Pelodiscus sinensis: one gene and its partners. The protein of the gene in region 2 purifies or fractionates together with the protein of the main gene of each other region. This does not show direct contact. Links are inferred from orthologs where the notes say so. Each region holds a gene or a part of one and is shown on either strand. Other genes may lie near its edges. The genes, in order: IFT22, IFT57, TRAF3IP1 and IFT46.

The links.
Region 1: the proteins of IFT57 (region 2) and IFT22 purify together in Homo sapiens (affinity purification with mass spectrometry; 3 studies listed by BioGRID and IntAct, counting the BioPlex papers as one, with this or other methods). This does not show direct contact. The link is inferred for Pelodiscus sinensis from reciprocal best matches to the Homo sapiens genes IFT57 and IFT22.
Region 3: the proteins of IFT57 (region 2) and TRAF3IP1 purify together in Homo sapiens (affinity purification with mass spectrometry; 3 studies listed by BioGRID and IntAct, counting the BioPlex papers as one, with this or other methods). This does not show direct contact. The link is inferred for Pelodiscus sinensis from reciprocal best matches to the Homo sapiens genes IFT57 and TRAF3IP1.
Region 4: the proteins of IFT57 (region 2) and IFT46 purify together in Homo sapiens (affinity purification with mass spectrometry; 3 studies listed by BioGRID and IntAct, counting the BioPlex papers as one, with this or other methods). This does not show direct contact. The link is inferred for Pelodiscus sinensis from reciprocal best matches to the Homo sapiens genes IFT57 and IFT46.

The regions. Positions count from the first base shown.
Region 1 is NC_134731.1:26,092,801-26,100,331, forward strand, and holds the start of IFT22 (intraflagellar transport protein 22 homolog), read right to left. Parts: upstream 3,017-7,531; 5' UTR 2,871-3,016; coding exon 2,832-2,870; intron 2,321-2,831; coding exon 2,241-2,320; intron 2,107-2,240; coding exon 2,017-2,106; intron 562-2,016; exon of another isoform or gene 495-561; intron 1-494. UniProt on the Homo sapiens protein: Small GTPase-like component of the intraflagellar transport (IFT) complex B.
Region 2 is NC_134711.1:154,984,245-154,991,263, reverse strand, and holds the start of IFT57 (intraflagellar transport protein 57 homolog), read left to right. Parts: upstream 1-4,001; 5' UTR 4,002-4,040; coding exon 4,041-4,375; intron 4,376-4,683; exon of another isoform or gene 4,684-4,993; coding exon of another isoform or gene 4,994-5,049; intron 5,050-7,019. UniProt on the Homo sapiens protein: Required for the formation of cilia. Plays an indirect role in sonic hedgehog signaling, cilia being required for all activity of the hedgehog pathway.
Region 3 is NC_134717.1:64,455,911-64,463,341, forward strand, and holds the start of TRAF3IP1 (TRAF3-interacting protein 1), read right to left. Parts: upstream 3,019-7,431; 5' UTR 2,928-3,018; coding exon 2,805-2,927; intron 588-2,804; coding exon 519-587; intron 1-518.
Region 4 is NC_134736.1:860,835-867,901, reverse strand, and holds the start of IFT46 (intraflagellar transport protein 46 homolog), read right to left. Parts: upstream 3,005-7,067; 5' UTR 2,756-3,004; coding exon 2,738-2,755; intron 2,579-2,737; coding exon 2,482-2,578; intron 2,454-2,481; exon of another isoform or gene 2,212-2,453; intron 1,962-2,211; coding exon 1,882-1,961; intron 842-1,881; coding exon 708-841; intron 1-707. Other genes in the region: ARCN1 (coatomer subunit delta), read left to right, coding at 3,297-3,299. UniProt on the Homo sapiens protein: Forms part of a complex involved in intraflagellar transport (IFT), the bi-directional movement of particles required for the assembly, maintenance and functioning of primary cilia. May play a role in chondrocyte maturation and skeletogenesis.

The DNA of each region.
Region 1 (7,531 bases), on a different chromosome or scaffold from region 2:
GCCAGTTTTTCCAGAAAATCAGCTGCTTTTCCGGAAAAACTTGCCAGCTGTCTATACTGCATGCTTGAATTTCCGCAAAAGCACTGACTTTCTACTGTAAGAAATCAGTGCTTCTTGCGGAAATACTATTCTGCTCCTGTGCAGGCAAAAGTCCCTTTTGCGCAAAGCTTTTGCGCAAAAGGGCCAGTGTAGACAGCTCAGATTTGTTTTCTGCAAAAAAGCCCCAATCGCGAAAATGGCGATCGGGGCTTTTTTGTGGAAAAGCGTCTGTGCCAATCTAGACGCTCTGTTCCGAAAATACTTTTAACAAAAAACTTTTCCGTTAAAAGCATTTCTGGAAAATCATGCCAATCAAGAAACTCCACCATGGGCCTAGAACTTAGTTACAAAGGGAAACCAAAACATTTTTTAAAAGTACACAGACATCAGATCCTATTTCCCAAACCATAAAACAATAAAACCTAACGGCTTTATCTAAACTTTACCCTACTTACAGAAGAGTGAAGAATTGTTTATTGGAGAGAGAGAGACATGTCTGTCTCCTTCAGTAGCTGGAGGGAACTGCCAAGGGAAAAAGGAGAGGGAAAAACAAAAATTCCTTTGTCCCAGGTTGAAATTCCTACCTACATTCCTATTGGTCAACTCTACCTGAGTTAGGTATAGTTAACCCCTTAATCCCCAGGCTGCTGGCCATCTCTCATGATCATGACAGATGGCCAGCACCTTCTCCTGAAGAGCTGACTTGTGGAGTGGTCCTAGTCCTACAAATGGACCAGCTGAAACAGAACCCTACTGACTTCAACAGGCATAAGCATATGGTCAGGTGGATCAATTTAAGGGATTAAGATCCCCTAGTCATCTAGGTCCTAATCCTACATGGATCCCCCAATGCACCTGGAACTCCTTAAGCTCTTAAAAGGTCACTGCCAACTTGATCTTGTAACAGTTTAGAGAATGAGTTAGAAATAGTTTCAGATTCCACACCTGTCCTTGAACCCCCCTGACAATTTGTGGTTTTAGTTTTCCTTTTTTTCCCAAAGTACTTTTTATTCCCTGCTGTTGAACCTAATCCCTCAAAAAGAGTGGTCAAAAGCAAGCAAACTGAAAATATAACAAAACATTTCCCTCTATCTGCTTTCTGTTACTCAATGGTGAGTAAGAGAGACTTCAGAGAAAAGTGTGATTTTTAAGCTGATGCTCTTAATTCATTAACAGATAGATGGCCTTTTATTCATTTTCCTCTGATATAATATTCCGTGTGTTAATAGCTCCGAGCTGCTACAAGAATGAAACTGCCATATGTAGTCAGATAAATAGTACATCTTCCTCCAGTATCTTGTGTCGTAGTGCCTGATGTCTCAGAGGAAGATATAAAAAACTTTATAATAGAATAATCTATTTAAATAGGAAGCTTCTTCCTCATTTTAGGCAGGTAATACTTGGTTTATATCCTGAAATATGAGAATTTATATCCCATGGAAACAGAACAAATGCATGTTAAAATAATTCATATGCAGTGCTGTTGTAGCTGTGTTGATCCCAGGATATTAGGGAGACAAGTTGGCTGCATCTAGACTGGCATGATTTTCCGCAAATGCTTTTAACGGAAAAGATTTTCCGTTAAAAGTATTTGCGGAAAAGAGCATCTAGATTGGCACGGACGCTTTTGCGCAAATCGCTGTGCCAATCGCCATTTTCGCCATCGGGGCTTTTTTGCGCAGAACAGTTTTTAGCTGTCTACACTGGCCCTCTTGCGCAAATACATTTGCGCAAGAGGGCTTTTTCCCGAACGGGAGCAGCATAGTATTTGCGCAAGAACACTGACCATCTTACATTAGATAGTCAGTGTTCTTGCACAAATTCAAGTGGCTAGTGTAGACAGCTGGCAAGTTTTAAAACTTGCCTGTCTAGACGCAGCCATTGAGTGAAGAAGAGCTCTGTGTAAGTTTGTGTCGCTCAAATAAATATTACCTCACCCACCTTGTTAAAATAACATGAGCTTTGAAACCCACTTACTTTTGATCACCGCCACAATCCCAGAGCTCAAATCGACACCCTGCCCCTTTACTGTTGCCATTCACATTTGGCTTCTCATATTCAAGGATCCTAAAAACAGAAGTGGTTTCATAGCATGATAAAATTCTACAAGACCATGCTAGGAAGAGCATGACCTCCTCTGGGGAAGAGGTGGGGGGTCACAAATAAGGGTCTCCTTTCCGTATGCATGGTACAGGGCTCACCTCACTCCTTGAGTTGGGACATAGCTGCTAATGCCTTCTGTACTCTCTGACACAAAATTTGCCAAGACGGACTTCCCAGACTGCCAAAAATGGGAGCAAAAAGCCATGTGTGTGACTAACACGTCATTCAGTAGGGCTCAGAGGGAAGGGCGGCGGGGGGGGGGGGGGGCTGTGTATATCCTACCCTGGTCTTTGCAGTTTGGAGCCTGGTTTTTGCTGTTTGGAGGGGGAAGGAGGCTACTTCCATGGGATCATGGCCACAAGGAGGTGGAGCCCGTAGGATCTTCGTGGGCTGGGATCCATAACACTGGGGGGAGGGGCTCCCAGCTGGGCTGTTCATTGGGGGGGGGGGGCGACATACACCAGACCCTGCCCTTCCCGCCCAATCGGGCCACTCGAGACATCGACAAGGCCCAAGAGCGTGTGAGTGGGGAGGGACAGCGCGGCAATTCGCATGGGGCAGATACGGGGGGGCAGCCCCCAGGCACGTACGAGGTTCAGGAGCCGAGCCCCGCCCCTAAGGGGCCATGGGGGCTGTTCGGGGGGGGGGGCTCCACGGGGCCTGCGCTCCGCCGCCCGCCCCGCACTCACCTCGCTGGGGCCCACGAACAGGATCTTGGCCTTCAGCATCCCGGCGCGGGCCGCGCAGCCCCGAGCCCGACGGCGTTGCCGGGCGGCACCTTAGCAACGCGGCGCCGTTGTCAAGGGCGGGGGGAAGCCGCCCTGCGATTGGAGCGGAGCGTGGCCGGAAGGGGGAGCGGAGCGGGAAGGGAGGAGACGTCACGTGCCTCAAGGGAGCTTCCTGCTCCACGTGACCCCTTGCCCAGGTTCAGTCCCCTCCCCCTCAGTCTAGCCCCTCCCCCTCGCCCTCATTTCTCCTCCCCTCAGCCCCTCAGGGCCCGGCTCGCTCGCTGGTCGCGCGCCCAGAGCTGGCACTGCAGCAAGGCCCTGGGTTGCACAAGCTGGTCCCTGTGCTGAACGCTCTTAGCTGGGAGTCAGAGTCCCATTCTCATTGAGCTTCAGTCAGTTAAAAAAACACCTACAGGGGAAAAAAAGATTTTTTAATGAGTGTAGCAAAAATCAAAACACTTTTTTCACCCTCTAAAGCTCCCATGCAGGGGTATGGACCAGAGCAACAAAAGGGGTGAAATACAATCTAAAAAAAAGGGAAGAAGGACAGTCCAGGGAACTGCAGACCAGTCAGCCTCACCTCAGTCCCCAGAAAAATCATGGAGGGGAGCCTCAAGGAATCCATTTTGAAGCATTTGGAAGAGGGGAAAGTGATCAGGAATAGTCAACATGGATTCACTAAGGGCACGTCATGCCTGACCAACCTGATTAGCTTCTATGATGAAGTAACTGGCTCTGTGGATATGGGGAAGGCAGTGAATGCAATATACCTTGGCTGTGTCTACATTGGCATGCTTTTGCGCAAAAGCGACTGCTTTTATGCAGAAACATGCTGCCTGTCTACACTGGCCGTGAGTACTTGCGCAAGAACACTGACGTTCTAATGTAGGAAATCAGTGCTCCTTGTGCAAATACTCCGATGCTCCCGCTCAGGGATGAGCCCTCTTGCACAACTGTTCTTGCACAAGAGGCCAGTGTAGACAAGCGACATTAATTTCTTGCGCAAGAAAGCCCGATGGCTAAAATGGCCATCGGAGCTTTCTTGAACAAGAGAGTGTCTACGCTGGCACGGATACTTTTGCGCAAAAGCACATCTCTTGCGCAAAGGCACATGCCAGTGTAGATGCTCTCTTGCGCAAATACTTTAATGAAAAAACTGTTAAAAGTATTTGCGCAAAATCTTGTCAATGTAGATGTAGCCCTTGACTTTAGCAAAGCTTTTCATACGGTCTCCCATAATATTCTTGCCAGCAAGTTAAGAAAGTATGGATTGGATAAATGGACTGTAAGATGGATAGAAATATGGCTAGACTGTCGGGCCCAACGGGTAGTGATTAATGGCTCAATGTCAGATTGGCGGTTGGTTTCTAGCAGAGTGCCCTAAGGATTTGGTCTAGGGCTGGTTTTGTTCAATGTCTTTATTAATAACCTGGATGAGATGATGGATTGCACCTTCAGCAAGTTTATGGATGACACTAAGCTGGGGGAGAGATAGATATGTTGGAGGGCAAGGATAGGTTCCAGAGTGACCTAGACAGATTAAAGGACTGGGGCCAAAGGAAATCTGATGAGGTTCAACAAGGACAAGTGCAGAGTCCTGCACTTGGGATGGAAGAACCCCAAGCATTGTTACAGGCTAGGGACTGAATGGCTAAGCAGCAGTTTGTCAGAAAAGGTCCTGGGATTACAGTGGATGAGAAGCTGGATCTGAGTCAACAGGGTGCTCTTGTAGCCAAAAAGGCTAATGGCATATTAGGGTGCATTAGGAGGAGCATTGCCAGCAGGTCTAAAGAAGTGATTATTCCCCTTTATTCGGCTCTGGTGAGCTCATATCTGGAGTATCGTGTCTAGTTCTGGGCCCCCCACTATAGAAAGGATGTGGACACATTGGAGAGGGTCCAGCGGCAGGCAACCAAAATGATTAGGGGGCTGAGGCACATGACCTGGGACCAATCCTTTTCAACTTATTCATAAATGATCTGGAGAAAGGAGTAAGCACTGAGGCAGTAAAGTTTGCAGATGATACCAAACTGTTTAGGATAGTCAAGACAGAAGCAGACTGTGAGGGACTCCAAGAAGATCTCACCAAACTGAGTGATTGGGCAACAAAATGGCAAATGAAATTTAATGTGGATAAGTGTAAAGTAATGCACATCGGGAAAAATAAGCCCAACTATACGTACAGTATGATGGGGGCTAATTTGGCTACGACAATTCAGGAAAGAGATCTTAGAGTTATTGAGGACAGTTCTCTGAAAACTTCCACACAGAGTGCAGCAGCGGTCAAAAAGGCAAATAGGATGGTAGGAATTATTAGGAAAGGGATAGAAAATAAGACCCAGAATATCTTACTGCCCCTGTATAAAACTATGGTATGCCCACATCTTGAATACTGTGTACAGATGTGGTCTCCTCACCTCAAAAAAGATATTTTGGCCTTGGAAAGGGTTCAGAAAAGGGCAACTAAAATGATTAGGGGTTTGGAACGGGTCCCATATGAGGAGAGGCTAAAGAGACTGGGACTTTTCAGTTTAGAAAAGAGGAGACTGAGGGGGGATATGATAGAGGTCTATAAAATCATGAGTGGTGTGGAGAGGGCTGATAAAGAAAAGTTATTTATTAGTTCCCATAATAGAAGAACTAGAGGACACCAAATGAAATTAATGGGTAGCAGGTTTAAAACTAATAAAAGAAAGTTCTTCTTCACACAGCGTGTTGTCAACCTGTGGAACTCCTTGCCAGAGGAGGCTGTGAAGGCTAGGACTATAATAGAGTTTAAAGAGAAGCTGGATACATTCATGGAGGTTAGGTCCATAAAAGGCTATTAGCCAGGGGATAAAATAGTGTCCCTGGCCTCTGTTTGTCAGAGGCTGGAGAGGGATGGCAGGAGACAAATCGCTTGATCATTGTCTGCGGTCCACCCTCTCTGGGGCACCTGGTGCTGGCCACTGTCGGTAGACAAGATACTGGGCTAGATGGACCTTTGGTCTGACCCAGTATGGCCGTTCTTATGACCTATGAGGAGAGACTGAGGGATTTGGGTTTATTTAGTCCCCAGGAGAGAAGAGTGAGGGGGGATTTGATAGCAGCCTTTAACTTCCTGAAGGTTCCAAAGAGGATGGAGAGAGGCTGTTCACAGTGGTGATGGATGGCAGAACAAGGAGCAATGGTCTCAAGTTACAGTGGGGAGGTCTAGGTTGGATATTAGCAAAACTATTTCACTAGGAGGGTGGTGAAGCACTGAAATGGGTTACCTAGGTAGGTGGTGGAATCTTCATCCCTAGAGTTTTTTAAGTGTTGGCTTGACAAAGCCGTGGCTGGGTTGATTTAGTTGGGACTGGTCCTGCTTTGGGCAGGGTGTTGGACTTGATGACCTCCTGAGGTCTCTTCCAGCCCTATGATTCTATGACTCTATGAATACAACCTGTGCAGCTATTTTGGAGCACATTTGTGGCTCTCTGGGCCTCATGAAGAGGTCAGGGAAATTGTTATTCAGTGTTTTCCTGGCTTTATAGAGCTAGGCTCTATCCACAAACTGAATTGATAGGTCAGTGATGTAAGGGCACAAGGGAGGGCCTCAGAGTTTCCTGCTTTGCCACAGACTTCCCTTGTAACTGTGCACTAATCATTTAGGACCAAATCCATAATGGTATTTAGGTTCCTAACTTCCACTGAAAGTAAAGGAAATTAAGACCCTGAACATCTTTGTGAATCTTAGTCTAGTCCACTGTAGAAGTGAGGCTAGCGGAGCTTCCATGAGGAGAAATATATTAAAAGATCGAGAATAACTCAATTTCTACCTATCTGGGCCATATGTATACCTAAAATGTATAGATTTTGTGTGAGAAATGCCATTCTCTGGTGTAGTTTCCAGAACACATGGATCTTGTGATACTAATGACAGAATTTCCTCAAGTCACCAGCATGAGCATTGAAGAGACAAATCCTGTAAGTTTCTTATTAAGGCTTTGCTGAGGGAGCTGGAAGAGTTTTAAAGGCTCAGCATATAGGTACAAACATCTGGCAACCAGATGGGTTGCTTCAGAGTTGTTTAGTGCCCAGGTACAGTAACGTTTTAAGACAAGCTTTCAAATAGGACCTTTAGGTGCTATCATAATATAAATATTTATTAGTGCTACTGATAAATGTGAAACAGGATTGTTTTGTTCCCACTGAGAGGATACAGTGTTTCCATCAGCCTGCAGATTTATGTAATAGGTTTGTTTAGTGTCCCAGGAGCCTAGGTGTCATTTTTGCCACATTTAAAGGATCAGAAATAATCCATTGTTTCCAGGGCAAGTTATGAGAGACAAAGGTAATGTAAGAAAGCCAGCTGCATTTAGCATCGAACGCATATTTGATTCTGTTTTAGCAAACTGGGATTTATTTTACACTGTTAGAAACACACAGCTACCTAATTCCAATTGTGCACCTAATTAGGTCAATTTGTAATCAGTCCCTTCTGCTGCAAGACTATATGCCACATGCCAGATCCACTTGCATTCAGAGAAAAGACAGAAGTGACCAAAGGAGAAACCATTTTGCACTTATGAGCCAGCAAATGTAACCATTGCAATGTCTAGTAGTGCACAAAGAGAAACACGATATAATGGGTTCTAATGTGAACAGGCCCACTGTAGCCAGACACGAACCCCATCTTG
Region 2 (7,019 bases):
TTAACAAAGTAATAGAAATCGAGGGACTCATGAGAACCTCGGTATAAGTATCTCATTAAATAAAACTATTTAACCAATGTGTGTTTTATAACATGTTTCCCATAACAGGACAGCAGTTTCAGTTAGGCAAAACTGTAACTCTGAATATTTAACTCTCTTTACTAGATAAGTCTCAAACTCCTGGCTCATGAGCCATCCCCCTTCAGAGTGATTGCACAATCATCCAGTGTGCTCCACTTCTCCATGGCTCCTGATGCTCTGGGGAGTGCGGGGGCTTATTGACCGCTGCTGCCACACCACACCCGGCTCCCTCTGTGATTCCCAAAACTGTGTCCTTGGGAATAGAGTGCCATGGGAAGAAAGGGCAAAGGTGATGGTGGGAAGGGGTGCAGTTTGGGGAGTGGTAACGTACAGGTCTTGGGTGGAGTGTGCAATTGCTCCAGCTGGGTATGACTTGTGGGCTGGAAATTTGAGACCCCTGCTTTATAAGCTTTGACCTAAATTTTACCAGTCTAAATCTCATGTAAGTCACTGGTTGTAGTGGAGTAACTCTGTATTCTTACCAGTGAAAATAAGAGTACACTTTGTCTCTATAAACCTTCTGGTTTCACAATGAAGATAAGGCATTTCAGCTGATCATTACTTCTTTAAGATTGTAACCTGGTAACAGCTGGTTAAAGTATGCATAAGGCTTATGAGCATTAGAAGCATTCAAAGCTTTACAAATTAAGTAAGCCAAACTTGGAAAGTTGTAGATATCCAAAGCAGTATATTAAGCCAGATTACTTTTGTTGTACAAAAAAACCCCACACACAACTACAGTGTATATATATTTAAAATCCTCCACTAGCTTCAAAGAGACCAAACCCTACATCTCCTCTATTTTGATAGCCCAAACACTGGATCCATTTTACATGTTAGAAGCCTCTTTATATATACTGGCCCTGTATTTCAAAAACAGCATGGAAAAAGGGCAACATGATCCTGCTATCAGCGTTTCAGAACCAAGTAATTTTGTTCTACAGTGATAGATCCTTTGTTATTTCAGAATGATCAGAAATCAGCATGTATGTAGCAACTGAGCAGAAGTAGTCAAAAGTTGAGCTGTCTTCTGGGATCCTGTAATATGTTCACTTTGTCCTACTTCCTTTGGCACATTTTTTCCCCAAAAAAGCGGTGTAGGCCAACATTGTAATCTTTCTCCTTTAATAAAAAGTCAGAAATGGCTTAGAATTCAGTATGAGTACTAGCAACTTTTGCCAGTATAGTAACCTTGCTGAAGGGTGTAATTTTTAAAATTTTTATTTTAGTTTGACATTTCTGAACCAGCAAATGCCCTAGCAGAAGCACTTACACTGGCAGAAAACAGCTTTTGCCACTGTATTTAAACTAGCAGAAACTGTACCAGCAAAAGCACTTTTTGCCACTATAAACTGCATCTACACTTAGGAGGGTTCAGCCACCATAACAGCAAAACTTAAGTCAAACGGACCTTAAAGCCAGGTACTCTCATTTATGATTCATATGATATATAGTATAATTGATAAAAAGAATGAACACTGAATTACACACTCCATTTCCCCTCTATTTTCCCACCCCACTGTAGCATTCCACATTCTAGCAGGGTGTCTGTGTGGCCTCCACTTTTTTCATGCCAGGGGCTTCTTCCCCTCACCTTCCTTTCTTATTGACTCAGTTTGGTGAATTTCTGCAGCTGACGAGCGAGACAGTCTGGCAATATGCGATACACACTATTGTAGTTATATAGCAATTTGCGTAGCTTTTTCTGAAAAAAGGCTCTAGTGTAGACATAGCTAAATTCTTGGGAAGCAAGACACAGTGCTGAAAGATGTTCCAAAGGTAGGTTCCACAGCAGCAATAGCAGCTACCTATGTAGCCCTTCAGTGTCATCTGTGGAGACAGTGGGCCACCCAGCTTACAACAAAGCAGCAGCTCTATAAAAACATGGTTGTACCAGCTGTATTGTGGATGTTAAGAGTGACAGCTTCACATTTCTGATTCTTCTTGTCTTTGCCAGCTGTTTCATATTAAGTAGCAAGCCAAGGGCAGCCACCAAAGTATTAGTAGATGAGTAGAACAGTTTCCACCATCAGCATTAATTCTGTTTCAATGACATTATTAGGAAGATCAAAAAATTACAGAACACTTTTACTCTTATCTGTAATGATCCTTATCTGCTTCTTTTAACTATCCAATTTTTCGGTGCTTATAGATTACCAGTTTTGTCTGTTTGGTTTTCCCTTTGATATTTACATACCCCCTCTGCTTCTTGTTTCCTGCCCCCTTCCATTTTTTTCCTTCCCCCCTGTCATTTCTCCCCTATTTATTTTGGGTCTGGACATCTTAAACTCATAATTCTGGCCATCTGAAGAAGTGAACTGTGCCCACGAAAGCTCGTGATACCATCTTCATGTTTTGTTAGTCTATAAAGTGCTACCAGTCTATTCTTTTTTAAGTTTATCCTGTACAGACTAACCTGGCTACCCCCTGAAACTTTTATTACAGAATGCCACCACACAGGTGAGGGAGGGTTATATCTTGTATTTATTGCCCTCTAATATCTTGGGATAGACACAGCTACAACTATAGGGCATACAACAAAGGAAGGCATCAAATTTAATGATCTGAAGTGAAAACAAAAAGACACAGAAACAAGTCCAATAAAAGATATTATCTCACTCATATTGTCTCTCCATTATGTCTATATTAGAAACAGGATCAACAATCCACTACAACTCTTCTTAATGACTGTCTGATATTTTGATTCACATTAGTTTTGAAAAGTTTAGGCAAGACAAACTTAATGGTATAAAATTTAAAAAATCAGATCCTGTATTAAAGTTTAGATAGAAAGACCTATGAGCCTGAGTTCAATCAACAAACTAAATCATAAGAAACACATGGACATGTACTAAAGGAATAAGTAGAACAATAAGGTAACAAGGCATTTTAGTTTTGAAAGTACCCTTTAAGAAGTCAAACATATAGTTACATTACTGACCAAATACATCTATTCTTATAGTGGCACAATTCACATTTCAGTCTCTTTAATCATCTCTGTATTTTTGTTTTTCTTAAGCGTTTGGTCTAAATTGCAAAAATATACTCACAACAAATGAAATCAGTGTTTCAAGTGGCAGCACACAGTCAGCTGTTCAGAAATTAAATGTACGTTTATCTGTAAGGAGTAAACATTCCTTTGAGGTCAAAAGTCTCTTGAGCAATGCAATAAAACGTAAGGCGGAAAGGTGTGTGACTCTTACAGTTACCTAATGAATTCCTGTCACCTGAATGATACGGGGCACCGGAGAAATCTGATCTCACTAAGTGTTTCTATACAGCTGGGGTTGGGTCTGCTGCCAGCCTGAGACAGACACAAGGTAAAATGAACAGAGGGGGAAATGTATCCTTCGGAGCAAGTGGAAGCCACCTGGATGCCCAAATCTCAGCACGCCCCTCTTCTTGAGACTGCAGTGCAGGAGAGCCTGGAGACAGGCAGGGGGAGGTGCAAAGGCAACTTTCACTGGGACAACTTCTGCGGGTGAAAGGAAGGGGCAGAGCCAGCTCCCCGCCGCACAAAGCCTGCAAACCTCGCAGCGAGCCCGAGCCGGCTGCCCTCCCACGTCAGCCAGGCACAGGGCGGGCTGCGGGTGACCCAGCGCATGGCTGGACAGTCCCCTGAGAGGGGGCCGTGCCGCTCTACGCCAGCCCCGCCCGCCAGGGAGAGGGAGGCAGGCGGGGTTGGAGTAGAGCGGTTTCCTCCAATCATCTCTCGGCTCTGCCTTAGCTCCGCCCCCCCTCATCGGCAGCGAAGAAGTTTCCCCTGCCCCGCCCAAGAAGAGGGAGGGGGAGACAGAGAGAGCAGCGTCCACCCGGAAGAGCATCCCTGCTGCCTTCGCGCGCTAAGGTGTCCCTCGAGAACCCTCGAGCGGAAGTGCCACTCTAAAGGCGCCACCTGAAGGAGGAGGGGGTGGGGGGGGGGGGGGGTGCTGCGCATTCCGGCGCGGAGAGGTGATTGGATGAGTGAGCAGGGAACCCGGGAGGTGATTGGAGGAGCGGAACCAACAGCGCGGCCTGAGCCACAGCGGGGAAGTGATTGGTGGCTCGGAGTTGCGGGGGGCGGAGTTTGTTGCCCCGGAGACGCCGCGGCTGGGCTGGGGCCTGGGGTCTGCGTGCAGATGGAGGAGGAGGCCGGCGGTGCCCGCCGCGGCGGGGAGGAGCAGGAGGCGGCGGAGCGGGGCCCGGGCGCGGCCTATCACATGTTCGTGATGATGGAGGATCTGCTGGAGAAGCTGAAGCTGCTGAACTACGAGGAGGAGGCGCTGCGGCTCCACCACTTGCGGCCCCTCTCCAGGTGACCCCTGACCCCGGCCGCTGACCCCTGACCCCGCTGCCGGCACGCGCCCTCTGACCTGGGACCGTTGTCAGCGGCCCTGCCACGCGCGGGCGAGGGTCCGTGGACGGGGCCCCAGGAGGGCTCAGGGTGGGACGGGCGCGGGAGGGGCCTTTTGCTCCCCCGGCCCTTGGGCAGCTCCCAGCGCTGAGGCCTAGTTCACACTCCTGCTTTACAGCGCTGTCACTTGATGCGCTGGGGGGGGGGGGTCTGGGGGGGGGGGCTTTGCACCCCTGAACCAGTAAATTACAGGGTTGTAAAGTGCCAGTGCAGAATGTTTGCGCTGCATAGTGTATGCATGGGCCAGGGAACTGCATGTGGGACCAGGGCTTGCTTGTGAGTGAGTAGGTAGCACACACCCCTCTCTCCCTCCCCGTCCCTACCCCCCATCTCTGCCCACATTGGTGGAGCATTGATCTGTCTTTGAAACCTGGGCTTCTGGTGTACAGGTGGGGATCTTAGGGTCTCTATTCACCAGAGAATTTGTCTGTTCTGTGTCCTTCTGTGGCAGTCTTCTTCGCCTGCCAACATGTCCAGCTGTGGGGTGTTCCCAGCTTTTTACAGTCCACGGGTCCAGTAATGGTGGAAGAACTCTTTTTGCTTGTGGCTTCACTGTGGCAGAACACACACAAGAGGTCTGTGAGATTAGTGACATTTCAGCATTGGCTTCTGTCCTTTGGAAGGTGACAGCAGCAGCTCTTAGAGGGTCCACCAAGGCACTTGCAACACATTTGATGCACTTGATGCTTCCAGCCAAAGCTATGGATTCTCTATATATAGAATCATATTTCGGGAGCAGGGCCACAAGCCCAGGCTTGTGGGATCACATTATTATGAAGACTTGGGAGACGATCAGTGGCTTCAGAAAATTTTACACGTGGAAGCAGACATTCATGAAGCTGTGTGAGAAGCTTTCCCTGACCATTCTGTGCTGGGATAAGCACATGAGTGAGGCCATATCATTGAAGAAATAGGTAGCTAGTTCCATCAGAAGCTGGCTACCTCACACTGCTACAGGTCTGTTACTAACCATTTTGGTGTTGGCATTTTGCTTGTGAGGATTGTGTCTTTAAAAATGGCCAAATCAGCTTAAATCTATAGCTGCTGAGCTAGATGGAACATCTGACAGTGGATGGTGCCATGTACTTCAGGGAATGAACAGAGTTTAGGGTATTTATCAAGTGATCCATTGCCAGCTTCTGGCAGTTAACATCCAAAACGTGGCATTGTACCATGACTGTCTTGTCTAATAGCCATTAATGGACCTGTCCTTGAACTTAGCTAACTCTTTTTTTTGAACCCAGCTGTGCTTTTGCCATCACAGCATCCCTTGGCAGTGAGTTCCACAGGTTGTGTGTGGATAGAAGAAGCACCTCCTTGTGTTTGTTTTAAATGTTCTGTCTGTTAATGTCATTGCATGATCCCTGGTTATTGTAGTATCTGACTATGGAAATGACACCTTCCTGCTCAGTTTTTCCATGCCATTCACAGTTGTAGAAGTTTGTGTGAGAACTTATTACACCCACCTTTGGGTTAATCACAATTCTAATTTTACTGAAATAATTGCTGACTCTGAAGAAATCGATTTCCCACACAGAGCTAGGTCCATTGATGATACTCATATACCATAGTTCTTCCCAAGGAGCAAGTGAATGTCATCTGCATAGGGCACTATTTCATACTTATGCAGACCTTGGTCAACCACACAGGCAGATTCATGGACACCAGTGTGGAGTGTACTGGCAAAGTGCATTGTATTAGGGTGCTGAGGTGAACAGGCATTTACCCTTTTGGACAAACATGGGCTATTTCTCCAAGTGACGGGGTCTCTATGTCCAATAAGTTTAGGAGATTCTGCTTTTCTTGCCCGGGCTCATTAAATCATAGTTTAACTTAAGAGATGCTGGCAGTAGAAGATTGTTTCACACTTAGAATGATGATGGTGTGCACATTTGACAGACTCAGAGAAAGACTGTGCTGTCTGCAAAACCACTTGAATGCCGGTGTTGCTGATTCTGTCCATATCGTAGTAGCATGCTGCATATTGCACAACACCTGTAAGGCATCAGGAGAGCATTTTTACTTGGAGTAGACTGAAAATGCTGCTGGTTTGCAGGTCCAATACAGGCAACCATAAGCAGCACCAGTTATTATGGGGGCTGTATCCAGACAGGCAAAGGATTTCACACATGACTTCTATAATCTCATCCTAAGGTCACGGGTGACGGAAATAAGGGTATGTAATGCTGGTGAACTGTTATGTGCCTTGCATTTTATTGCTACTGCTATATTTTATGTGGGCTTTGCAGTATATTAAGGGCTTCCTGGAGGTTTTTTTGTGTACATGAAGTTCATTTTGGAGGTTTTTTAAAACAATTTTTAACTTTTATATCTAGGTCTAAAAGTTGGGGAAGGCACTTTGTTAGTTTGTGTTTGAAACCAGACTATGTTAACATGAACAAGACACTGTTTTAGAGCATGCCAGCAGCGTCCAGTGTTTAGCTGGAAGGCAATACACCCTTCTAATGTGCTCTTCTACTCCCTGTGGAAAAGTACTTAGATGCAAGTCACAGATCAGAGGCTGCTTGGGTAAACATAAGCTGCT
Region 3 (7,431 bases), on a different chromosome or scaffold from region 2:
CACTTCTGCAAACAATAAAATACCTGTTAACTACTAACACAAGTGTTGGAGCTTTTTATGCAGCTCATGACATTGACAGTCCATTACAGAGCTCCTGCACATGACAATCTTTCCAAAGGGCCCAGAGCTCCACTTCATTACTCAGACACCCAGACATGAAAACTCATTCACTTTACCGCTCCATGTACAAGCACCTAACTTGGTAAGAATATGCACAAAAGGTGTTTAATAAACAGTTCTCAAGATATCAAACAACACCAACAGATTCTGTAAAAATCTCAACGTTTTTTATGTAAGTAAACAATACACAAAAAGTTAGAGTTATTTGCCTATGCACAACCACAACACACCACCACCACCACACTTTTAAAAAGGCAGCATTTAAGCATATTCCTGGGCATTAGCTTCAGATGAGTGTAGGTTTATCATAGTAAATAGAATTCAGTGAAACAAAGTGGCAATAGCTAGTGACCAGTTATAAAGAATTCCAACATTAAATAAGGAAATTTCAAACCCACCTTCACATTATCAGATTTCATCTCAAAGTCTGTGTAAAGCCCGTTCATAAAACCAGTCACTCTAATTACCTTCAAAGCAAACACAGTAAATTAATAATAATAAAAAAAAAAACTAGAAAGCTTCCAAAAAACCCCATCTTTTACAAACTTTCTGCAATCACTTGGAGGGATGCTATTTCATGCTGAACTATTTTGGTGGTGCAGTTTTAAAGATCCTTTCTATTGCAATGATCTCTTCTGTCATGGGTTTCAATAAGTCATTTGAAGCTTGCTCTTTTTTTTTTTTAAAGTCTCCTTCCTTTGAATCATTATATCTCTGCAGTACAGAAGATTCACTTTAAAGGCTACGTCTACACTGCAGACTTCTTGTGCAAGAACTGTTTTACACAAGAGTTCTTGTGCAAAAGGTCTTCTACAAGAGTGTGTCCATACTGCCATGTGCTTTTGTGGAAGAGATGTGCTTTTGCGCAAGAGTGTCCATGGCAGTGTGGATGCTCTCTTGTGCAAGAAAGCTCTGATGGCCATTTTAGCCATAGGGCTTTCTTGCACAAGAAACCGCTATTGCCTGTCTACACTGCCTTCTTGTGGAAGAGCTCTTGCGCAAGAGGGCTTATTCCTCATGGGAAGAGGAATAACTCTTCTGGAAGAAGCCGTGTTTTCCAACGCTGTACTGTAAATTTACTTGCGCAAGAACGCGCGTGCAGCATAGACGCTCTGCAAGTTTTTGTGCAAGAATAGCCTGCAGTGTAGATGAAGCCTTTTTGTTTTACGCAGAAAATTACAGTTAATACACCCAAAGGCCATATACTTTAACGACAGTCCCGATGTATTCTGTTACTGCCTAACACGTGGTGGCTGATTTCTTAATAGACATGCACATACTTGAGTTCAGGGAATTTAACATCTTCTAATGAATAATCCATTTTGACCTTCCTTTGACTAAAAGAAGGCAAAAAAGGATAAGCTTTGTGAATATCTTTCAGAGTGTAGGAGTGCTCACCTTTTATTCTATAGTAGATGTTCATTAGTAGCCACACAGGGGCGCCTTTTGCTACTTAGCTTCTAAACACCTATTGCAATTCTAGGGCTTGCTGCCAGGTCATGGTGGGTGGGGAAAGCATTCCCACGAGAAATGTTCATAAGCAGTGGTTGCTTTTATAAGGTGTTGCTGTAAACAAGCACCTACTGTAGTACTAACGACCACAAATGTTTTCTACTTTGGTAATATCTTTCACCTGCAGCTGTAAGGTTTGGGAGATGGGGGTGGGTGTTGTTTTTTATTTAAGAGGAGCAAAAATTCTTGCCTCCATTTCACACATTGGAAAAGGCAAAAGAGTGAGAGAGAAACCAAAGCAATAGAAGGGTTGCTGGTCAGGATGTAAAATCCCAGGTAATCTGTTAATTAGTTACACCTCTGGTTTAACCAAACAAATGGGCTCCTGCTCCTGCATGTGCCCACCCTCCAACTCAGGGTTCTGTCCCCTCTGTGCTCAGGGGAGCCAGCTTCTGCTCCTGCACCCCTGAGGGAAGGGGAAGTGGCAGCAGAAGCATAAGGGTGATGCTCACCAGGTAACCAGTTACCCATTCACATCCCTAGCTGCTGGTAGGTAGGTAAATAGCTACCCCTCCCCCTACTGCTGCACGCCCTCCTCCAGGCAGATGGGAGGGCACCACGGGGGGGGGGGGGGGGGGCTCACCAAGGTCCCAGGCCAGTGGGGTCCTGCGTCCAACCCCCTGGGGAGCTCTGCCCTCCAGAGTCCCCCAGCACCCCGAGCCCCGCCCACAGTGCCCCCAGAGAACCCCGCCCTACCAGAATCCCCCAGCACCCCCTAAGCTCTGCCCCCCAGAGCCCACAGCACTCCCTGAGCCCCGCCCCCCAGAACCCCCAGCACCCCTGGGGAGCCCCGCCCTACCAGAGCCCCCCAGCACCCCCCTGAGGAGCCCCGCCCTACCAGAGCCCCCCAGCACCCCCCTGAGGTCTGCCCCACAGAACCCCCAGCACCCCTGGGGAGCCCCGCCCTACCAGAGCCCCCCAGCACCCCCTGAGGTCTGCCCCACAGAGCCCACAGCACCCCTGGGGAGCCCCGCCCTACCAGAGCCCCCCAGCACCCCCTGAGGTCTGCCCCACAGAGCCCACAGCACCCCTGGGGAGCCCCGCCCTCAAGAGCCCCCCAGCGCCCCCTAGGGAGCCCCGCCCTACCAGAGCCCCCCAGAACCCTTCGAGCCCCGCCCCTCAGCCCCCCACCCCCGGGCCCCGCCTAGCAACCGGCCGCGCGGCGCCCCCACCTCGCCGATGACGTCGTGCAGGTAGCGGAAGGGCGGCTTGCTGAGCAGGCGCTCGGTGAGCGGCGGTTTGCGGATCACGCGCCCCAGCGACTCCTGAGTGCGCCGCACCACGGCCCCGTCCATGGCGGCACCGGCCGGGCCGGCTCCGGCTGCGCCCTCCCGGCATGCACCTCGCCCCCGCCGTGCGCAGGCGCAGCGCCCCGGCCGCTCGCTGCCCACCGCGGCCCTAGCAACGGGCCGAAGGCGCCTGCTTCGGCCCCGCCCCCGGCCCCGCCCCGCCGCGCAGGAGCCAATGGCGCTGCCGCGCTCCCTGGCCGGGCGTCCGGGCGGCAGAGCTGGCGCGCGGGGCGGGGGCAAATAGGGATGCTCTTGGAGCACAGGGGCGTCCACGGGGCAATTGGGGCACAGGGCTGCCTATGGGGCAATAGGGATGCCTGTGGGGCAATTGGGGCACAGGGCTGCCCGTGGGGCAATTGGGGCACAGGGCTGCCCGTGGGGCAATAGGGCTGCCCGTGGGGCAATTGGGGCACAGGGCTGCCTATGGGGCAATAGGGATGCCTGTGGGGCAATTGGGGCACAGGGCTGCCTATGGGGCAATAGGGCTGCCTGTGGGGCAATTGGGGCACAGGGCTGCCCGTGGAGCAATAGGGATGCCTGTGGGGCAATTGGGGCACAGGGCTGCGTATGGGGCAATAGGGATGCCTGTGGGGCACACTTGGGCCCAGCAGCTCCCTGCCACCCTTCATCTCCCCACAGGGGTATACACCTCACCTGGCTGTACCTATGGTGCCTGTGGGCTGAGTCTGTCCCTGCCCAAGGGCCACCCCAAGTTCTCTCTCCCCAGAGGCCCGAGCTGGCCTGGCTCCCATTCCAGCAGGTCTCTTGCGGGCTCTCTGCACTTCCCACTAAGCTAATGATTTCATGCCAAACTGGAAGCTCTGTGGTCAGCATGAGTCCCACGTGACAGAAGGGCAAAACCTTGAGCTTTCCCATGGTGGGCAAGTCTGGGTCTCAGCTATCTGTCTTCCCAGACCCTGACCCCAAGCCCTGACTCACTGCTCAGGCACCCCAGAGATGACAAGGAGACACAAACCCCAGCTGCTTCTAGTGCAGGCAGATGTAGACTCTTCAAAAGTCTGTGGAGCACTCGCTGAGCCCATATACCTATACACCTTTATCAGCCCAAGCTCCCAGCACTAAAGCAGGAATTGTTACAGGTTGACTGGTATCCCTCCCAACTTTCCTTTCCCCAAACATTAGTATTTCCTCAGACAAACTCAAGTCCAAGTGCTGGGGGACAGCTGAGAGGCCGAGTGAGACTAACTGATCAGGACTCTCAAACTGCTTCAGAAACAAATTAGGGGGTGGGGGAGAGAGGCACAAATTCACATTAGTTCAGGCAAGTTTGCCTCTGGACACCTGATAGAAGGTACTTCAGCACAAAGAGCTCAAAGGAAGTAGTTTGCCTCTTTCCTCTCCCTTTGAGACAATCTGAAATTGACGAGATTCCCAGACTAACTCTGCCTCAGGGGAACTGAGGAGCCTGGGAAGAGGAGGTGTTGACACTTTCCTACAGCCAAGGACTTTGTAAGAAGTCTTGTTAGGAATCCAGAGGAGTGGGAAGAAGAAGCTGGGGAGGAACTGTGTTTATTTTGGAATGGTCTGGTTCATTTGGACTTCTGCCACTAGCTCTCCATGAAGTATCTATGATGCCTGAGAGACTGGGAGGGAGAGTCCTCAGGGGTTGTTAAATGTGAACTTCACTGTTTATTTGGATGGCGAGTTGGTATGCTGAGAAAGGGTGGATTGGTTTAGCTAGAGTCAAAGGCTAAACAGCCCACAGACTATGGACATCCCTCTGGGCCCACAGAGAAGCACTTGGAATTGAAGGAAGTGTCCTGCATTAATGACACAGAGGAGGTTTGGTCTCTATTTTAGGTGCCCTGGCTAGAACTTGCACTGAGTGGGAGCTCCATTCAATCTCACCACATTATGGTAGGAAGTTGTGACATGGTGTCAGCAGTGGGATCTGTGAAAAGGGGAGAAATATGAAGACTAGAGACTTCTTATCCGTGGAGTACACAGCTGAGCAAAGTATTTCCATTCAGTTTCCAGGAACATTCCAAAGGAGAGAGGAGATATTTTCTGGAAGCAAAAAATGTGGAATTGGTGCAGTGGTCAATAATGAAAAGGACAGGTCACTGCTACAGTGTTATCTGGATTGTTAAGCAGACAAATGCATTTTAATACAGCTAAATAGATATGTCTAGGAACAGTAAAATCAAGTCAAAATTGAGAGACATAACCAAGCCAAGTGCTCCAAGAAAATGTAGCACTAGAAGAGAATTGGCATGTGCTAGGGAACAGACTTTCTTGGAACATTCTTGTGAACTGCTGATATTCAATATTTTAAAAATAACTATTACTCCTTAAGGGTCAAACTGCCCAGAAGACATGGATGTCCACGATATTCTTATTGATAAACTAGGCAAATATAACTTAGATAGATCCACGATAAGGTGGGTGCATAATTGGCTGGATAACCGTAGTCAGAGAGTTGTTGTTAACGGTACTAAATCCTCCTGGAAAGGGATAACAAGTGGAGTTCCTCAAGGGTCTGTTTTGGGACCCGTACTGTTCAATATCTTCATCAATGATGTAGATATTGGGATAGAGAGTACGCTTATTAAGTTTGCAGATGATACCAAACTGGGTGGGGTTGCAACTTCTTTGGAGGATAGGGACATAATTCAAAATGACCTTAGCAAGTTAGAGAAATGGTCAGAGGTAAACAGGATGAAGTTTAATAAAGAGAAATGCAAAGTGCTCCACTTAGGAAGGAACAATCAGTTCCATACATTCAAGATGGGAAATGACTGTCTAGGAAGGAGCACGGCGGAAAAGGATCTAGGGGTCATAGTGGACCACAAGTTGAATACGAGTCAACAGTGTGATGCTGTTGCAAAAAAAGCAAATATGATTCTAGGTTGTATCAACAGGTGTGTTGTAAGCAAAACTCGTGAAGTCATTCTGCCGCTCTACTCTGCATTAGTTAGGCCTCAGCTGGAGTACTGTGTCCAGTTCTGGGCGCCACATTTCAAGAAAGATGTGGAGAAATTGGAAAGGGTACAGGGAAGAGCGACAAGAATGATTAAAGGTCTAGAGAACATGACCTATGAAGCCAGGCTTCATGAACTGGGCTTGTTTAGTTTGGAAAAAAGAAGATTAAGGGGGGACATAACGGTTTTCAAATATCTAAAAGGGTGTCACAAGGAGGAAGGAGAAAATGTGTTCCTCTTGGTTTCTGAGGACAGGACAAGGAGTAATGGGCTAAAAGTGCAGCAAGGGAGGTTTAGATTGGACATTAGGAAAAAATTCCTAACTGTCAGGGTGGTCAAATATTGGAATAAATTGCCAAGGGAGGTTGTGGAATCTCCCTCTCTGGAGATATTTAAGAACAGGTTAGATAGACATCTGTCAGGGAGGGTGTAGACGGAGCTTGGTCCTGCCTTGAGGGCGGGGGGCTGGACTCGATGACCTCTCGAGGTCCCTTCCAGTCCTATGGTTCTATGATTGCTATTCCGCATGGAACTTGGTTTTTAGTCCATTATTTTAAACAACATAGACTATGGCTCTGCACACACTCAACATATTTGTTTGGCAGCTCCTGCCTGAAGATTTGTTTTATCAAACTTTCAGACGCTGAGAGGTCAGACCCTAAATGAATTGTACTTCTGCAGTACTACAATTCATTTGCAAATTTGACACTATCAATTTAGGATTGAACAAAAACTGAATGTCTAGCCAACTACAAAAGCAGTTTCTCCTCCTTATCAGCTGCTAGAAGTGAGCCTCATCCTCCTTGACTAAATTGACCTCTCTGGCCTTCCTCTTGATTGGTACTCCCTTCTTTTCATGTGCCTATTTATACCCACCTCTGGAATTTCTACTACATGCATCTGACGAAGTGGATCTTTGCCCATGAAAGCTTATGATCTATAAATCTTTCAAGCAAAGCTGATTTTTCCTCCCCTCCCCCCCCCCCCCCCAAGATAAAAAAACTATTGCCACTGTTTTTGCTCTAGGTAGAAACCAAGAAAGTGTGTAAGTTGCCATTTTGGGTTGTTTTCCAGATATGAAAGTACCTGTTTAGATCATCCTTTCAGTTTTCCAGTTTTCTATTAGATATTGAACATCTTCCTGTTCCTTTTGGTCATTTATGTTCCATTTCTGTAGCAAGCATTTAAAAACTTATTGTTTCTCTTTTAACATTTGTCTGCTCAATCTATTGACTAGACGAGGCTAGTCTGACCCCTCATACAACTCTGGCTGCCTTATCAGCGTTTGGTAGCTCTGAATAAAACCAAAACTGTGATAACCAGCCTTTGTGTTGTCAAAAGTATACACCATTGAATGTCAATAGAAAATCTTGTTTGTTTTATTCTCTTGACTCAAATTAAATGGACTTTGTAAACTATTGAGTGTAGATGAAACAAATCTGCTTGTACAATCAGGAGAAGCGGTTCCTATTATATCTAGTGAAGGAACATGTTACAACAAGCCTCCAGCTATTGTCTTTCTCTGAATCTGTTCTCTCCTCATTGAGAGGCAAGGTGCGGAAAGGAAT
Region 4 (7,067 bases), on a different chromosome or scaffold from region 2:
AAAACAATTACTTCCCTTGAGGCAGGCTAGCCTGCATGCTAGACATCTGTACTCTCTTTCAGACAATTGCATTCTGTCTTTGTCCAGCACAATGCTTTGAGTATATTAATGGGTCCACTAATATCCCTGCCTTCTGTTACTGCTAGTTTATCATACTAAGTCTGAGTTTTTGCCAGGCTACCTGGCTACGCTCTATGCTACCTCAAAATGTTCATGAGCAGGTATTTGTAGGCAGGAAACTTAACAGGCATACTTGAAATTAAGAATTCTCCCTGTGTCAATGAACACTTCAGAATCTTGCTTAGGAATCCAAGTTTTAAGTTTTCTAAGAACAATTCTATCTATGAACAATGCATCTTTACTGATGCATGTCAAATCCCAGTGACACTCGTCCTGTCCACACGGTCAATGGCATTCCCTCTACCCTACCCTCCCCCCTTAATATAGCTATATCGTTGTATCTTCATTTTTCAGGGCTGATACTCTGAAAACTTACTGTGCCATTGCATCTGTATATTATCTGTCTCAGCTTTTAAACCCCTTATCCCACACTGTCTAATCTAAAGACACATCTGCACAGTACTGTCAGAATATAACATTACTCATTTGGCCTGTTAGGATGGAACAGGTCTCTCTCATAAGGGAGATCTTGACTTTAATTCCAGTGGTTCCTCTAACTGTTCTTATAAATTGAGAGTCCTTCATACCCCTCCAAAGGGGCTCCATGCTCCTCTTCATCATCGTCATCGTCCGAGTCAGTTTCAGACGAATCATCCTCATCCTCTCCATCCTCGTTCTCACTAAATCCTCGCTGTGGGGCCAGTTGAGCTACCTTCTTTTCCTAGGTCATGTTAAAACCAAAGTTATGGTGCAACAGACGTTCCCAACAGCCCCATTTCCCAGCTCTGCCATTTTTCATTCTAAACAGAAAAACACCCTCTGTTCAAAGTTTGCCACATACGGGTGGCACTGCTGTGTGAAAAAGAAACTTCCTTGGGTGGTATGGAAAAGGAATGCCAGCACAGACAATTAATCTAGGGTTACTACTGCTCTTAGTCTGACCCAAATGCATGGGTTTCAGCAATGGGGCGGGGGGGGAGGAATATTTAGTTCTAACAAACAAGAATTTATCTTTTTTAGAGAATCTCAAAATGGTTTATAAACAGTACTCAGCCCTTTCCAAGGCAGTAAGTACTATGATCCCACTTTACAGCCAGAGAAACTGAAATAGATAGGAGAAAACTGGCTCACGCAAAGCCACACAACTGATTAGTACAGAGCTGGACATAGAACTCAGGAGTCCTGACCTATAGTCAGTGTATGTTCTCTAAACTGTAAAAAACACTCCCTACGTTTCCAGCCAAACGTGGGTGTAAGCTATTGATCTCTGACAACCCTCTTTTTATCCCACTTCAGCCACTGAACAACAGTGGGCCTGGTAAAAGCAACAAGGAGTCCTGTAGCACCTTATAGACTAACAGATGTATTGGAGCATAAGCTTTTGTGGGCAAAGACCCACTTCGTCAGTGGGCCTGGTATTCATTATATCCACACTGGATGGTATCAGCTACCATGATGTGAAAATTCCCTTCTAGACCGATTCTCCCAAATTCATATACATTGTTCCATCTGTTTTACTTGAAGAAAAAAGAAATCTGACCCCCTCCTTACCTTCTATTTCTAGTACAAATAATGTGTCTTGCCAAAAAGTACTGCAATTACATTTCTTTCTACTCAAAATGGGTCTTAAAAATAATCACAAAACATTAAGAAATTTCCCCAGTAGGACTCAACATACAGATAACAAGTCCCAGGTAGATGGGGGCTACAAAATGCTGTGATCAACTACATCAGCAAAGAAGAACATGGACAACCTCATACCTTGTTTATTTCTTCATCATACTCATCACTGCTGTTATCAGCCATGTTTTTGAGCTGTGAGCATGTGGACCTAGGACCTGCTGAAGAGATCATCAAGAAGGTTTCTGTATATATGCTACCCAAGCTTGGTTGTGAGATTGCAGCTTGGATTATCACATTGAGGCACCTATCTACACAGGCCCTACACTGAAGTTCTAACAGTCATGTTTACTCAATTGCAGCATGAGGCTGAACTAGACTAGACTGCAGCTGGGCTAGCCACGGTGGAAAAGCCCAAATCCCTATTCCACCAACCACGTGCACGCCTAGGTTTGTGACAATTGTCCTTACCGCATCTAGTCTCTCAAGCTTCTTTTTCACCCCCAGGGAACACCTTTGGTATTTAAAACGCGTGTTCTGCTTTACCCCCACAGCACCGTGCGTCCAGCGAATCCCAACGAGCCTGCTCCCCTCCAGTTTTGAGGAACTGAGTTTTCATCCCCTGGGGGAGGCTAAGACGCTGTAGCAGCGAGGCTCAAGCTGCCCGTCGGCATTTAGGGCGGGAGCGGAGGCGGCGGCGGCGGCGGCGAGGGAGGGAGGGAGCGGAGGCGGCGGCCCTACCTCGCTGCCGTGGAGTTGGGGTGTAGACACTGGCCACCTCTTCGGAGTCGTTGATCTCCAGGCTCTCGTCGTAGGGCTGGTTTTCCACTATTTTGGTCTAGTGACAAAGACAAGCGCGTCCGGGTCACTGTCGCTGCCGACTGCAAAGCGCCGGGAGCGGCCTGGGGCTGCCCGGCGGGTGCTCGGGCCTTTCGGGACCCAGAGCACCCGGGCAGCGCCGCCCCCTGCTACGGTTTCAACCCCCGCCCCCAGTCACCTGCAGGGCCTCCGCCATGTCCCGGCTTTCAGGGCCCTGCCCGAGGCCGGGCCTCCATCACCCCCTGTGTCCCGTCACCCTGGAAACTGGCTCTCGCGAGAGTTGCCGCCCCAGCTCTACGGCGGCCGGATCGAGTCACGTCCATGCGTCTCCTCTCCTGTGGAAAGGGGAGGGCGTCGCGCAGCGGCCCCTAGCGGCCGGGCCGCGTCACTGCAAGGAAAGAATGACAGGTGCGCGGGGCTGTCGGAGCGCGGGCTGGAACGCGCAGTCTGGGGGGGGGTGTTTCTGCTTCTCACCTGCGTGCGGGCCCCGCCCCTGCTCGCGCGCGCATGGGCCTCCCCAGCAAGGGGCGGGGTCTCCGGGGCTCAGAGCACCGCACCCACGCGGCGCGGCGGGCGGGGGAGGAGCGAGGTGCTCCCGCCCCCGTGCGTGGCGGCGCTTCCGGCTGGGGACGTGGCTCGGCGCCGCCATCTTGTGGGGCCGCGGGAGGGAGACGCGGCGGCCGCTGCTGAGGCCGCGGGAGACTGAGCGCGCCGGGCCGCAGTCACGCTCCGCCGCCATGGTAAGCGCCGGGCCGCGCTCCCGCCCGGCCTCTTCGTGCCCCTGCCTGGCGCCTTGCCGCGGCGGCCGCTCGCCCCAGGCCTCGGGCCGCCCGCCGGCGTGTGGCTCTCGGGGCCTCGCGTGGGCCTGCCCCGCTGTGGGGGCCTCTCCGCGGGCAGCCGGCGATGCCGGTTCCGGGCAGGTCCCGGGCCTGGCCTGGGACACCTCTGCCGCCCTGCCAAGCGGCCAGCCCCCTGCGGCGGAGAGAGGCTTGTGGCACCTCGCCGCTCCCGGGCTTGGTCACACGGCCGTGTGGACGGGTCTGAGTCTAACCTGACCGCTGGACATGGGCTGGGTAGATCCATGTGTAAGATCACAGCAGTACACACAGTTGGCTAAAACCTGTCTACAAACGTGTGAGAATACTGTAGTTCAACGTACTTTATTGCTAATGGTATTAACGTGCATAACCCTGTTGTGCAGATATTATCTTAAGTTTACGTTGGCAAAACTTGAGGTGCACAGCAGTTAAGTGGTCTTCCCGAAAATTACATGAATCAATAATATATCTGGGAAAATAATCCAGTTGTCCTCATGATCTTGTGACCTCAGACCTTGTGACCCTGCATTTGTGGGGGGTTTTAAATCTAGTCCAAGTACATTTACTTTGCTTGTCCAGTTGAAAGAGCCTTACTTTCAGAGATTGATTACTTCACACTGTCTGAATATCAGGTTCCTTTAAGTCATGTCAAGTGGGCATGAAAAATTGCTTACTAATCCTACAGTTTAATATTGGTCCAGAGTTTGTATAAACAGGTCAATACATCTATATGATCTATATATCAGCTTGGAACGATACAAATATATACATATATATAGCTTCATGTAGGGGATTTAAACGTGTATCAGTTGTATTCTGTTTTTTATGAACTCACATTGTAGCTCTTTGTATTGCAAAGAGGCTAGATTGGCTCCTAATTGCAGTAAATTACATTTGACTCTTTGTAGTAACAGGCTTGTACCCAACTTCAAGCATGTGGTTTTTGTGGCCAAGGATAGTATAATTTGCTTACATTTCTTGATAAATTAGTAAATGAGTGTTAAACAGCTTCATACCCTGTTAGAGGTGGAGAAACAACTTTGATTAGAGAAAAGACCTGTTAAATGATATAGAGGAAAATGTTACACATCATAGAGCTGGAAGAGACCTTAGGAGGTCATCAAGGCCAGCCCCCTGCTTTAGGCAGGACCAATCCCCACTATATCAACCCAGCCAGGGCTTTGTCAAGCTGAGACTTAAAAACCTCCATGGATGGAGATTCCACCACCTCCCTAGGTAACCCATTCCAGTGCTTCACCACCCTCCTAGTCAAACAGTTTTTCCTAATATCCAACCTAGACCTTTCACACTGTCATGACAGTATAGCAAGCAAAGTGCAGTGTGGGATAATTTGCACACAAGGACAGATTAATTTAAAAGAGCATGTACCTTTTGGGGTTGTTCCTTTGAATAATTGTTCTTCTTTCCAGCTAGTTTTGTGGTCTTTGAATTTACTGGGATAAATATTTGAACTGTGTTTTAAAAAAAAAAAGAGAGATAATTTGACTCTTTTCTTAGTAAGCATAATGCATCAAAATCAAGTGCTATATAACTTTGTTTCAGTTTCAGATTTGTACATAATATCAAATTCTTTCTATTCAAATATCCTGTGGTGTTTGAGGATTAGTTTGATATAATTCTTAACTATTCACATTTCACAGCTCCTTTAATGAGGAATTGCTTTGCTATAACCTTTTATTACTGGGAGAATATGTAATTTAATTTAGTGAGGCTAAGAACAATGTACATAAGAATGGCCATACTGGGTCAGACCATAGAGACCAGTCTTGTGTCTTCCAACAGTGGCCAATGTCAGGTGCCACAGAGGGAATGAACGGAAGAGGCAATCATCAAGTGAAAACCCTCCTCTTTCACCCATTCCCAGTCTCTGACAAACAGAGACTAGGGACACCATTCCTACCATCCTGGCTAATAAGCATTGATGGACTTACCCTTCATGAATTTATATAGCTTTTTTTAATCCCTGGTAAAGTCCTGGTCTTCACAACCTCCTCTGGCAAGGAGTTTCACAGGTTGACCATGTGTTGCCTGAAGAAATACTGTCTTTTTTGTTTTAAACCTCTTGGCCTTTAAAACAAATTCCAAACCAAGAATACCTAATTTAATTTTTGTCCCCTGTGAAAAAGAATCAAAATATTTGCAATGCAGCATAAGATATTAAGTATCTTTAACATGGCGTATCTCTTGCTTTCCCAAGGTAGTCTCAAGAAATTATGGCAGGTTGAAAATTCTTACTTTTTTAATGTGGGGTGTTTGTAATGTGCTCTCCCCACCCAGAAAGTACTATCTCCTAAGTAACAAAATTGTGAATTAATAAATGGAGCCAACCTTTTAAAACCTAGTTAAATATTGAGGTGTTAGACTTGCAATGTTAGTTAAATCTAATCAAATAAATCCGAACAATTAAATCTGATGTTTGTTTATATATTTGTTTTTAAGTTACAAGATATGCAAGCTGCCATATGCAATTGTTCAGCATAGCTGTACAAAGAGTGAGGACTTTCTTGAAATTCTTGATCTAGTGACCTTAGATTGTGCAGATCACTGGGACATTTTATATGTTAAAACAGTATTTTTATACTCTAGATCCTTGCAAAGTGGAGACTAAGGATGTGTTAACTTTTCTGAGTCTCCCGTATTGACGCACTAATCAGTACTAACAGGCCAATGTCCAAAGCCTGAAAAAAGTCCACTGTGACTGAACAGTGGAATATGCTCAAACCTGACATACATGCTTTTGGGTTGTCAGTGACTGGGATGAAGCAATGACACATCATCAGTATTTGCTTCCTAAGTGGTAATGCTTGACTCAGAGAGACAGTGTCAAAGGAATTGCGGTACATTATAAGCATACAGTAATCTGTGACCGCTTCCTTAGGTGAACTTACATTAATTGTTTATACAAATTAAAGGCTTTTAAAGAATATGAAGGCTTTCTTCTTTAGTAGAACCTCTGAATTTTGTGTGTGTTTACTGCCTCATTCAAGTGGTAATCAGACTCAGCCATCCTAGGGTAGTTGAAGGCTGTAAGTCAGGGCTACTCAACTGTGGAAGCCCCGGGGGCCACAATGATGAGCACATGCCGATGGCCACAACCTAAGTGTGGTTGCATATACATGCAAATATATATGCAATTATATTCAAATTACTTTTCACATTGACAGGCATGAATACAGAGATTAAGACAAGCCTATGCAACACACAGGCCCAATTTAAGTCAGTTCTGCTAATATTAATACAATGCAATATTTACCTGCTTTCCACCCATCTCACAGCACTTTGAATGAGTAATGACAGTCAAGGAATTTAACTACTAAAACGCATATGAACAGAAGACCGTTACCTTACATTAGTCCAACTCCGAGAGCAATGCAAGCCCATGATATGCACAGGTTAGAAATGAGTCTCAGGTTCCCACCATTGCCTAATTGGAATACAGCATATCACTAGGCAGTCCAGAAGCCCTAAGCATACTTACTACATCATCCACAGGGGCACTTTTGTACAATGGACTGGCAGGCTTTGTGGAGATGTCATCTCCCATCAGATGAGCCAGAGGATTGTGAATGGAAAGCAAGGACAGGACTTCCAGGACTGTAATAGTGAAAAGCTTACAGCAGGGCTACTCAACATGTGGCTCACGGTGTGGTTTGGGTTTATGCAGGGCTC